Linked DNA regions of Canis lupus familiaris. The protein of the gene in region 1 interacts with the protein of each later gene in a pairwise test. Links are inferred from orthologs where the notes say so. Each region holds a gene or a part of one and is shown in the gene's direction. Other genes may lie near its edges.

The links.
Region 2: the proteins of MED31 (region 1) and HTT interact in binary tests that used the Homo sapiens proteins (3 or more experiments, as listed by UniProt). The link is inferred for Canis lupus familiaris from reciprocal best matches to the Homo sapiens genes MED31 and HTT.
Region 3: the proteins of MED31 (region 1) and SELENBP1 interact in a two-hybrid assay, tested with the Homo sapiens proteins (2 studies listed by BioGRID and IntAct). The link is inferred for Canis lupus familiaris from reciprocal best matches to the Homo sapiens genes MED31 and SELENBP1.

Annotation. Positions count from the first base shown.
Region 1 is NC_049226.1:30,892,401-30,896,149, forward strand, and holds the start of MED31 (mediator of RNA polymerase II transcription subunit 31), read left to right. Parts: upstream 1-957; 5' UTR 958-1,085; coding exon 1,086-1,113; intron 1,114-1,811; coding exon 1,812-1,889; intron 1,890-2,176; coding exon 2,177-2,273; intron 2,274-3,749. UniProt on the Homo sapiens protein: Component of the Mediator complex, a coactivator involved in the regulated transcription of nearly all RNA polymerase II-dependent genes.
Region 2 is NC_049224.1:61,700,887-61,704,535, reverse strand, and holds part of HTT (huntingtin), read left to right. Parts: intron 1-1,743; coding exon 1,744-1,855; intron 1,856-2,095; coding exon 2,096-2,233; intron 2,234-3,075; coding exon 3,076-3,234; intron 3,235-3,319; coding exon 3,320-3,417; intron 3,418-3,649.
Region 3 is NC_049238.1:61,075,897-61,079,645, reverse strand, and holds the start of SELENBP1 (methanethiol oxidase), read left to right. Parts: upstream 1-1,320; 5' UTR 1,321-1,350; coding exon 1,351-1,354; intron 1,355-2,033; coding exon 2,034-2,123; intron 2,124-3,749. UniProt on the Homo sapiens protein: Catalyzes the oxidation of methanethiol, an organosulfur compound known to be produced in substantial amounts by gut bacteria. Selenium-binding protein which may be involved in the sensing of reactive xenobiotics in the cytoplasm.

The DNA of each region.
Region 1 (3,749 bases):
CCCCTAACCAAGGCCTTCCCTGACACTTCTGAGTGAGGAACCCCTCCCATTACCTGTTTCCTTCAGTTACTCATTGCGATAGAAAATGGTCTTTTCATCATTTGCCGTGTGCCCCTTCACCAGTGTGAGCTCCTGAGAGCCTGGGTCCTGCCTACCTTGTCCAAGTGCCCACAGAGGAGAGGCTCCATAAATAGTACTGCCCTCCCCGCCCTCTGCGAGACCCGGGCCGGGTTCCCTTCCGAGATCACGCCTCATGGTAGATGTTGACTTTTATCTAGTCTGACCTGTATGGAAATGTGTGTGACTGGGGGTGCCCGTACAGGGCACAGGGCTTAGCATAAACAAAATACCTGCTTGGTTTGAAACACAAAGGCCAACTGGTTAATTAATGGAGGTCTGTTTCTTGCCCCTCGGTTTCCGGCCGCGGTGTGATCCTCCCAGTGGTCACGGTTTGGGTTTGCTCCCTGTCCCCGAAGTCTGGATCGTGAGGGTGGTTGGAACAACAGCCTCCCTATCCATCAGCCCATCAGGCTGGCGGAGCGTCGCGGGCCTGCGGACCTCCAGTGCTGGCTTGCTGCAAGGGGGCTCCCGGGGTCAACGGTGCGGCCACCCGGCCGACGCGCGGCGGAGGGGGCTGGCCCAGTGCCGACCCCGCACCTGCCGCACCTGCCGCACCTGCCGCACCTGCCGCACCTGCCGCACCTGCCGCACCTGCCGCACCTGCGCTCGGGTCAAGGGGGGGGTCCCTGTGGGTTGGAACGGCCGCTGGGCGTTCTCCCGGCTGAGGACTGCCCCCGCGGGAGACCCCACCGAGGGGATGTAGGCGCTCCCGGAGGCGCTCGGGACCCCCGCGGCTACGTCACTGGGCGAGCAGAGAGGCGGGGACAGGACCCCTCCCGCGCTCGGAGCGCCCCAGCTCCGCCCCTCGCCCCTTGCGAGTCTGCGCGAGGCCGGTGGGCGGGGCCCGAGAGGACCGCCCCGCCCCGCATCCCACACTGCCCCGCGACAGGAAGTGGGGCCGCAGCTTCCGGGACCTCCGGGAAGCTGCTCGTCGTGCTGGTGACGTCTCGGCGCTTTTGCTGGCGATGGCCGCGGCCGTCGCTATGGAGACAGGTAGGTAGCGGCCGGAGCCCTGGCAAACACAGCTACAGCCGGCTGGCCTCCTCCTCCAGCTTCCCCCGGGACTCCTGTGTGGCGTGACTTCGGCGGGGCTCCTGTCCGCGGCTACCTCCTCCTCGCTTGCCGCGCAGACGCCGACCACCCCTCAGCCTCAACCCCTCCCGGGCCCCGACCCCGCGGCCTCCCGACCCATCCCAGGTCCTGGCCCTCCCAGCCTCCGGGCTCTGACACCCCCCTCCCCCGGGCCTCCCAAATCCTGCCGCCCCGAACCAGTCCCCCCTCCCCGCCAGGCCCTAGCGGGAGCACACTCGCCCCCTCCTCTTGCTTAGCTTGCAGCCCTCCGCCACTGGTCACCCTGGAGGTCCTGGGGAGTGGCTGCCAGAGGGTGAACATCCTGCCCAGGGGGCGCCCGCTTCCTCGGACTTCTCCTTAAGGAGTTACTGGTCTCATTAATCAGGGCCCTGCTCTCTAGACTTGGGAGGAAACGGCCCTCTCTTCCCACATCCAGCTTAGGACAGTCATCCCTGCCTTATGCCTTCAGAGATACTCTCAGCAATACTCAGAACACTCCACTGCTGTTTTCTTTCTACAAACCAGCACTTTAGATAGTCACCTTTATTTTGTTTTTTATTTATTTTATTTATTTTTTAGTCACCTTTACTTTGGATGATTTTTGCTCACTTCCCTCCTAGATGATGCCGGGAATCGACTTCGGTTTCAGTTGGAGCTGGAATTTGTGCAGTGCCTAGCCAACCCCAATTATCTTAACTGTAAGTCCTTGAGCTCTTACTGACTTGAGTAGCTGTTAGTGATCTCTGGCAGAAGAACTGCAGTTCCTAATGATACCTATTTTTATATGTTCTCAATCCAGTGGAATTAACTGCTACGCTTATACTGGTGTGTGTGAGAACAAATTGGGACTTATGTTCAGCATTTAGTGTGTGTTGGTGGTGGGGAAGTTATATAAGTAGATGCTTTATGTGAGGGGTCACAAATCAGTAGTCCGAGGATTGGTTTGCTCTACAGATTTTTTTGTTTGTTTGTTTATGCCTTTCAGTTCTTGCCCAAAGAGGTTACTTCAAAGACAAAGCTTTTGTTAATTATCTTAAGTACTTGCTTTACTGGAAAGAACCAGAATATGCCAAGTATCTAAAGTAAGTTTAATTTTTATAGTCCTAAATATGTGTATAGTTATTACATTAAAAATACTGATATTTGACAGATTTTCTCATTTCCCATTGGAAAAAAGTATATTTTGAATCTCTCCACTTCTTTCAGTTGCCTCCACCTTAATACAGAGCCACCCCCTCTCCAGCTTGGATTATTGCGGTGTCCACCCCCCTGCTTCTCCCTGCTTGTGCTCTTACCTTCCTTCTGTGTCCTCCCTCCCGCAAGCCAAACCAAGCAAAACAGTTTTCCACAGGGAAGCCAACTTGATCTTTCAAAAATGTAAATTATGACGTGGTATTTTCTTGCTTAAAACCTCCCAGTGGTTTCCCATTGCATGTGAAACAAAATCCTCTCTCTTTTCTCAGGTCTCTCTTTATCTATCTACCACTCACCCCATCTCACTGAATTTCTGACCCTAATGAACCCACAGTCTGTAGATGCAGTGGTATTACCTGAGGCTGAAGATTAAAGAACATCAGGTACTTGGAAGGTTTTCTGGAGGAGGTGACCTTACCTGACTCTTAATATAGGCATTCCTTGGATACTGTTGATGTGGTTCCAGGCCACTGCAATGTGGTGAATATTGCAATAAAGTGACCCAAGTTTTTGGGTTCTCTAGTGCGTATAAGGGTTGTTAACACTATAGCATTAAGTCAAGAAAGAGGTACATACCTTAATTTAAAAATATTGTTAAAAAACACTGTCATCTGAGGTTTTATGGAGTCTGATCACAGATCACCCTAACAAATACAATGATAAAGAAAAGTTTGAAATGTGAGAATTATCAAATAATGACAGACATAAAGTGAGCAAATGTAGTTGGAAAAATGGTACCCATAGACTTGCTTGCTGATGGGTTGCCACACGCCTTTAATTTTTAAACAAAAAGTCCAAAAAACAAACCCAAACCAGTGTGTCTATAGCTGCTGTGCCTCCTCTGTGCCAAGCATCACACTTGTTTCAACCTTGAACCCATCCCTCTTCTTTGTCTTCACTAGGTAGTCAGAAAGCAATAGTTGAACTTCTTGTCTTTCTTTTTTTTTTTTTTTTTTTTTTTCTTGTCTTTCTTTTAAACAAACACGTTTGATAGGAAAATGATTCAGACTTGTACTTTATCCAAGTCACTTTTTATTTTTTGTATTTTTATTTTTTTTCCAAGTCACTTTTTTGATTTGTGTCAACTGATTCACAAAACCCACATCCTTCTCCCTGCAGGACCCTGTACACCCTGACTGCTCCTTTATGAACAGCCACTTATTCATTGAATAATCCGGAGAAAAGCTTTTTCATTAGCTGTTGTGTGCATGTGTAGACTTGGAGACTCCATTTGGACCTGGAGACACAGGCAAGGTCTAGTTCAGGGCTGGCCGTCTACACTCTGCATGGGTCCAGTGAGCACCTGTTCTCCATTTAGGGACAGTTGCACCATTAGCTGGGTGCTGGAAAGTTTTTCCTTATTT
Region 2 (3,649 bases), on another chromosome or scaffold:
CATGAGACCACTTGGCATTCTGAGCTCTTGTGAGAGTTTAAAATCACTCTGGCTCCTGTCTGCTGTGCTCCTCGCTTTCCCATCTCTGAGCTTCTACTCCGCTATTCCCCCTAAATATCAACCCCTTCCTGGGTGTGCTCTTCTTTTCTGCCCCTCCTGGTACTACCCAGATCCTTGAGAACTACCTGGAGTTCTGCCTCCTTGAGAGTCCTTCTCAGACAAATCTGTCTTGTACTGATTCCTGTCTCCCCTGATTTTTTGGGCCATTCATTTGATGGTCGTGCATAGTCTTGGAGCATTTCTTGTTTTTATTCATTGAATTATTCATTTGATTGTTTATAGTTTTAAAATACATAAAATATAAAATTTATGATTGTAACCATGTGAAGTGTACAGCTCCATGGCATAAGTGCATTCACATTGTGCAGCTATCACCACCCTCCATCTCCAGAGCTCTTCATCTCCCCAGATTGAAGCTCTGTCCCCATTAACCACAAACTTCCCATCTTTCCTCCTCCTGGCCCCTGGCTCCCACCATCTGCGTTGTGTCTATATGTGACTATTCGAGGGGAAGCTCAGCTAAGTGGAACCAGGCAGTCTTTGTTCTTTTGTGACCGGCTTGTTTCACTTGGTCAATGTTCTCAGTGTTCATCCATGTTGTAAGAAGTGTCTTCCTCCATAAGACTGAGTAATACCTCACTGTGTGGATGGACCACATATTGTTTTTCTGTTCATCTGTTGATAGGCACTTGGGTTGCTTCTGTCTTTTGGCTGTTATGAGTGATGCTGCTAGGAACCTGGCATGTAGGCATCTTTTGGATATACACCCAGAAGTGGGATTGCAGAGTCATAGGGTAGTTCTAGTTTTAGTTTTTTTCGAGATCCGTGCACACTGCTTTCCCTGATAGCTGCACCGGTTTGCATCCCACCAGCAACATGTTGGGTTCCAGTTTTCCCCATGTCCTCGCCCAAGGCTTGTCATTTTCTGGCCTTTTTTTTTTTTTTTTTTTTAGTAGCCATCCTACTGGGAGTGAGGTTGTAGATCATTGTGATTTTGACTTGCATTCCCTAATGATGAGTGATGGAGGAACATCTCTTCCTGTGTTTACTGGCCATTTGTATGTTGTCTTTGGAGAAATGTTTGTTCAAGCCCTTCACTCGGTTTTTAATCAGGTTTGGGAATTTTTTGTTGTTGTTGAGTTATCCATTGAATTGTCTATAAAATCTCTCTCTATTGCTTACTGCCTATAAGTGTCTTGTCTTCTCAGTTCTAAATTCCCCGAGGGTGAGAAATTGTCCATAGTCCCTCTGTAGCTGCCCAGTCTCTGCACTTCCTTCCAAGTCCTGCTCAGGCACAGATATGTCTGTGCCATTTCTGCTTTGGGCATTCCCAGGGCTCTTGCCTGTGGCTGAGTGCTTCCCCTTGTGTAGATGGTGGTTCGTGCTGTCCTTTCCCAGCAGCCTCTCCTGAGTGCTGGTGCCCCCCCCACACACACATGCATTGGACTTCTCCCCGCCACAGTCTCCGTGACCCTACAGTGTAGCTGCCTCTGACCACTCTGGATCTGTTCCAGCATGGTCTAAGGCCAGGCTTTCGTGGGACAGAGATAGGTATCTCTGTCCCCAGCACCTGGCATAGTTGCTGCTCTGGACCTATTTTTTGAACACACTAACGAGTGACTATAGTGGTTCCTTGATCATAAGACAAACGATCATAAGAAAGTGTCCATTTCTTTGTTGTAGCCTTGCCGGATCAAAGGTGACATAGGACAGTCTACCGATGATGATTCTGTTCCTCTTGTCCATTGTGTCCGCCTCCTGTGTGCGTCATTTTTGCTGACTGGGGAGAAAAATGGTATGTATAGCAGAGCAAGTACAGAGCTGAGGGAAGTGCCTAGGTCTCAAGGTCAACTTGGTGACTGGTGCCTCATCACCGCAGCAGAGGGAGGGAGTAGAGTCTGGGGTGAGCGGTGGTCCTTTTCACTGATGGGAGAAGGAGGGAGTGATGAGGGAGCTGGGTTCCTGGGTCTTGTTTTGTTTATGTGGAAACTAGATGTCTGTCACTTTGAAGGTCACTTTGCTGCCTTCCTTGCAGTTTTGGTTCCAGACAGGGACGTGCGGGTCAGTGTGAAGGCACTGGCACTCAGCTGTGTTGGAGCTGCTGTGGCCCTTCATCCTGAATCTTTCTTCAGCAAACTTTATAAAGTACCTCTTGACACCATGGAATACCCTGGTATGTTACAAGTTCACAGTCTATTCCTCATGTTTAACCATTGCTTTGAAAACTATTTCAGATCATCTTGGCTATTTTAGTTTAGAGTAATATTTTTTGAGTTAATTTGTGGCATTTTTGAACTGTGTTGTAGCTGTATATAAAGCACATAAATCGTAATGTTTTTTGTTTTTTGGACTCCCTGTAGATGCAATGTTTAGTTTAAACACACATGATGAAACAATAGAAATGTGGGAACATAAGAGCCAGTTTACATACATACTGGATTTATACCAAAAGCACAAATTGTGTATAATCAAAATTGCTTTGGGTCACACTCAGCCAGGCCAGATGTTCACACTCAGAGACAAGTGCGACCCGAGACCAGCAGAGCACCAGCAGATCCAGGCTCCTGTAGCACACGTTCTGGGACATTCTCTCATGTTGGAGTAAATGGGGGAGGAACCCCACTTCTAAAATTACCCTCCCGAGTTCTCCCCCTTTCTTTGGGCGAGGGGACACACTTGTGCTTTTGAATTCATATTAGGTAAGTGTGGACTAGTTTGAGTTTCTCTAATCTTTTTTTTTTTTTTTTTAAGTGAAATCTTGGAATTTTGATTATTGGCTGGCAGCCTGGAATTATAATCCAGAACATCTATTGTGTTGAAGTGATGTCAAGGCTATGATGAATCTAGAATCTTTAAACCCCATGATATTTTTTTACCAAATCTATATTCTAGATTTGGAATCCTCCCTCACCTTTGTTTTTTTTTTTTTTCCTTTCCTGAGAATTAAACTTTTCTTCTGAGTTAGAAAATGGATGGTAGGGGCTTGTACAGTGGCTGGGCAATTTATCTCTACAGAGGAGCAGTATGTGTCAGACATCCTGAACTACATCGACCATGGAGACCCCCAAGTCAGAGGAGCCACAGCCGTTCTCTGCGGAACCCTCATCTCCTCTATCCTCAGCAGATCCCGCTTCCAGGTGGGAGATTGGATGGGCACCGTCAGGACCCTGACAGGTAATGGCAGAACTTGCAGTGTATTTCCTAGGTAGAACTCTGTAGTTCAAGTTTGCATAAAGGCGCTGTTTGCTCTTCTGGTTAGGAAGTACATTTTCTCTGGCGGACTGTGTTCCTTTGCTGCAGAAAACTTTGAAGGATGAATCTTCTGTTACTTGCAAGTTGGCTTGTACAGCTGTGAGGGTAAGTATAATCTTTTGTGAAAATCAATTCTTTGATTAGTGGAAATTTTACCTTTGTTACCATTAAAATTGGGTTTAATGCTAAATATTCGTAGACCTTCTAAAGCTGTGAACAACAGTAAACAGTTGGATGTGTCCACGACTCTGTTGCAGAAAGCATTACCAAGAAAGGTTTATTTAATAGAGTGTAGCATAAGTTTTAATACTCAGGGTATTTGTTTGAAATGCTCCTT
Region 3 (3,749 bases), on another chromosome or scaffold:
ATTCTCATTCAGGACAAACAAAATCCCAGTTTCTTTTCTTTTCTTTTCTTTTCTTTTCTTTTCTTTTCTTTTCTTTTCTTTTCTTTTCTTTTCTTTCTTTTCTTTTCTTTTCTTTTTTTTTTAAATCCCAGTTCCTCTGGAGGTAATGACACAATGACTTTTTATAAGAGGGTGAGGATGGGTTTGCTTTCTCTTTCAGATCTTGGGTGTTGGGCTACTTCAAGTCCCAAAGCGGGAAAGTAGAGGAGGCTTAAGATGGGACCTCAGGAGGAAGAGGAGGCCAGAGTGGGGGGGAGCAGGCTGAAGGCAGGGTAAGTGGAGGCAGCCAGTGCATGAACTCAGCAAAGGCGAAGAAGCAGCCCTCGGAGGCCACCCCCTGTAGGACAGCTGTACCCACAGGGCTGACTGCAGCACGACTAGCTGATGGTGCAATGGTGAGGGTGCAGAAAGAGGAGAAAGCCAGGAGAGGTTGAGAGATCCTGGGGAGAAGAGGGTAGGAGGAGATCCCTGCCATAGGTAGCCACAGAGTATCCTCCTGTGTGGGTTCCTCACCCACAGGAACCGTTTGGCAGCCCGGTTTTCTTCCCCTTCCTTCTGCTGCAGTTTGGAAAGTCGGCGGATCTTTCCGCTGGCAGTGTCAAGACCAAACTTGGTCCCTTTCACTATCCAATAAAAACTTCACCCCATAGCTTTCATCCAAGGAGATGAAAGTGGCTTCTATAGACACAGAGTCAGCAGGTTCCAAGAAGAGTAGAGCAAAGTTTATGCTTGTCAGGCAGCCAGCTTTCAGGGAAGAGGGGGCCCTTGGCTTCAAATGAAGGACTGCTGGGGCGGGTTCCCTTGCATAGCCCTTCAAACCCAGGCTTCTCTGGATGAGGGCAGCCCCAGAGAGGGCTAGCAGGTCAGGCCTCAACCGAACCTTGGCCCTTCAGCAAGCAGCTGCCATTTGCCCGGAGGCCATTACATGTCCCTGGGACACGCCACTCTCAGGCTCAGCAGCCCCTGCCAGCAGGGAACCCTCCAGCTGGAGGACTCCTTTCTTACATAGTTGGAGACCCTTAGAGTTTTATGACTCATCACAGGCCAGTTAGGGACAGTGGCACCATTCTGGGCTTCCCTGGGGCCCTGCTATCCACCTTGGGAGCTGTTGAGAGACCAAGCAGAGAGATGGGGGGGAGGGCGGGACTCCACTTCTATCTCCTGAGATTTATGAGGTTAATAGGAAGTGATGATGGGCACTGCTGACTTTCCTTCCACTTCAAAGCTCAAGAGGCATACGCAAGTCTGGAGAAAGTGAAACCTGGATATACTAAACCTTGCTTCTCGTCAGGACAGCTGTGGCCAGAAGACATGGGTGAGCAGTTTGAGGGTGGGTAGGATGGTGCCTTTTGGAGCATGGATGTCTGGAAAAGAGGGTGTTTTTAAGAGAAAGCTGACCCTGGCTATGGATAGGAGCAAATGGGCCCAACAGCCCTGGGCGCCTTTACAAGTACAGAAATCCAAGTACAGAGATGAGCGTTTAGAAGCAGGGACATGTGCACACATATGCTTACACAAGCATGCATGCTCATGCACACAGGAACATATGCACAAGCCCACACGGGATAAACATTCTGGCGGGCACATGCTCACAAAAATACACACAGATGTGCACAAGTCCAGACACACAGGAATACCCACACTGGCACATATTCATCCACAAACACACAACACACACACAAGGAGGCAACACACAGGTATATAGACTGTGCACATGCCAGACCCACAAAGTCACATAAGCCCAGACACCCACAGTAGAGATGTGTGCACAGCCACAGCACATATCTACATATGAACAGGCTCCTACACACACACACACACACATACACACACACACAAACCTTGTAATGCAAACACCAGCCTCCCAGGCCATTTGAGAGCGTCTTGGCCAGCTGCCCTTGGTAGTTCATTCTGGGCTGCAACCCAGGCCCTCCCTCTGCCCCACCCTACTCACCCATTGGTTGTATAAATTCCTTCCCTTTGCCCCTTCCCAGCAAAGCCTGCCTCGGACAACGGCATAGCTTCTGTCTCTGCTCACTCCTGGCAGCCCAGTAAGGATCAAAGCATACCAGGAAGCAGCATGGGTAAGGAGGGGGCTTTCTGCCAACCAAGTGTCACCCACCTCTGGCCCACAGTACAGGAAGTGACAGAAAAGCTGGGTGGGGGAAGCTGGTGGGGTGTGTAGTGGACTCTGCTCTACTGGGCCCACCCCACCTCTATATCTCCCAGTTCAGCCAAAGTTTCCGGCGCTACAAGGAGAGGAGGGCAGAGGGACGGCTGGAATTTGTGGCCCTGGACCCCCACCTGACTCCCTAGCTGGGGCCTGGAGCCAGGGGACCTTCCTGCAGCTGGGAAAATCTGGTCGGGGTCAGGGAATACATAGGGAGAACCTTTTGTCCCTGGCTGTCACCATAGGTGAAAGGCCATCCTGATTCTAGCCCTGGGCCAGCTTTTTACTCCAGGAAGTAGGAAACCCAAGCCTTTGGGGCCAGATCACTCACCCTCTAGCCACCCCAGGCACTCTGAAAGGGAAATTGGAGCCCATACACTCTCACTGGGGCCCTATTCACTGCCTCCCACTCTCCCAGAAGCCCCTCTATTCCCCATCTTCAGACTCCTGGATGTCGGCCTGAGGAGTTTGGGTCTGCTTGGGAGTATTGAGGTCCTTGTCCCCCTGGATCTGGGTTTTTCCTAGACTAGCAGAATGCCTAGCAGCCAGCTTGACACTGGAAAACCCAGCGAGCTTCCCCTGGGTTCATCTCAAACCCAAAGATTTTCAGAGATCTTGATTGAGATGCTTAAGACAAGCCAGGAGATGGGGGGGGTGCCCCCAGTAAGAACACTGATGCTCCTGGGGCCTGGAGGTTACATGGGGCCTGATTGACTCCACGAAGTGCTGGGGTGATGTGCAGAGGGGAAGATGCCACAGCCAGCAACACCTCCCTCACCTCTCCATCTCTGTCCAGCTTTGTGGGCCTTGTGTCTCTGTCTTGAGGTCTTGGGGTTTTGAATCTCCTTCTGCTTTGTGTCCAGCAAACTCCTTCCTCTCCCCCTTGCCTCCTATGCCAAGCCCCTGCACAGTCTTCTCAATTCCTTTGGGCTGGATTTCTCATCAACCGCATCCACCCCAGCTCTCTCTCTGGCCACCAACCACTGCCTGGGATTTTTGTCCCGCTTCTGGCACAATCTACCCATATTTATACCGCGTTTCTCCTTTACAAAAGTACTTCTGAATATATCAGCTTATTTGACTTTCCTAGCCACCTGGAAAAGAAGGTAAGATATTATTACCCCCTTTTAGCCAAAGAGGGGAGAAAGTCAAGAGAGCAGATACCAGATCTGGAGCTTGAAACCAATGAAAACGCTGTTGCCTCCTCCTGGCCTCCTGGCCATGTTGGCTGCCTTGAGAGGGGACCTGTTTCCTGGCTGAGGGCCTGAGCCCAGGCACCAGGGAAGGCTCCACTCCGACTGCTCCTGCCTCCCCACTGGGGGTCCCTGTGCTGTCAGGGCAGGGCCAGACTGGCTGTGGGCCAGCGCAGGGAGGCAGCACCCGTCCTGTGATCTCCACTCTGGGATTTCTGACAGCTCCTTCCTCCAGGTCAGATCCCAACCCTGAGGCCTGATGCCTGGTCCTGATCCCTCACCCTCCTTCTCCGCAGCTGACTTTGGGCCAGTTGGTTCTGTGGCTGCTCTTGCCAGGCTTGACCGAT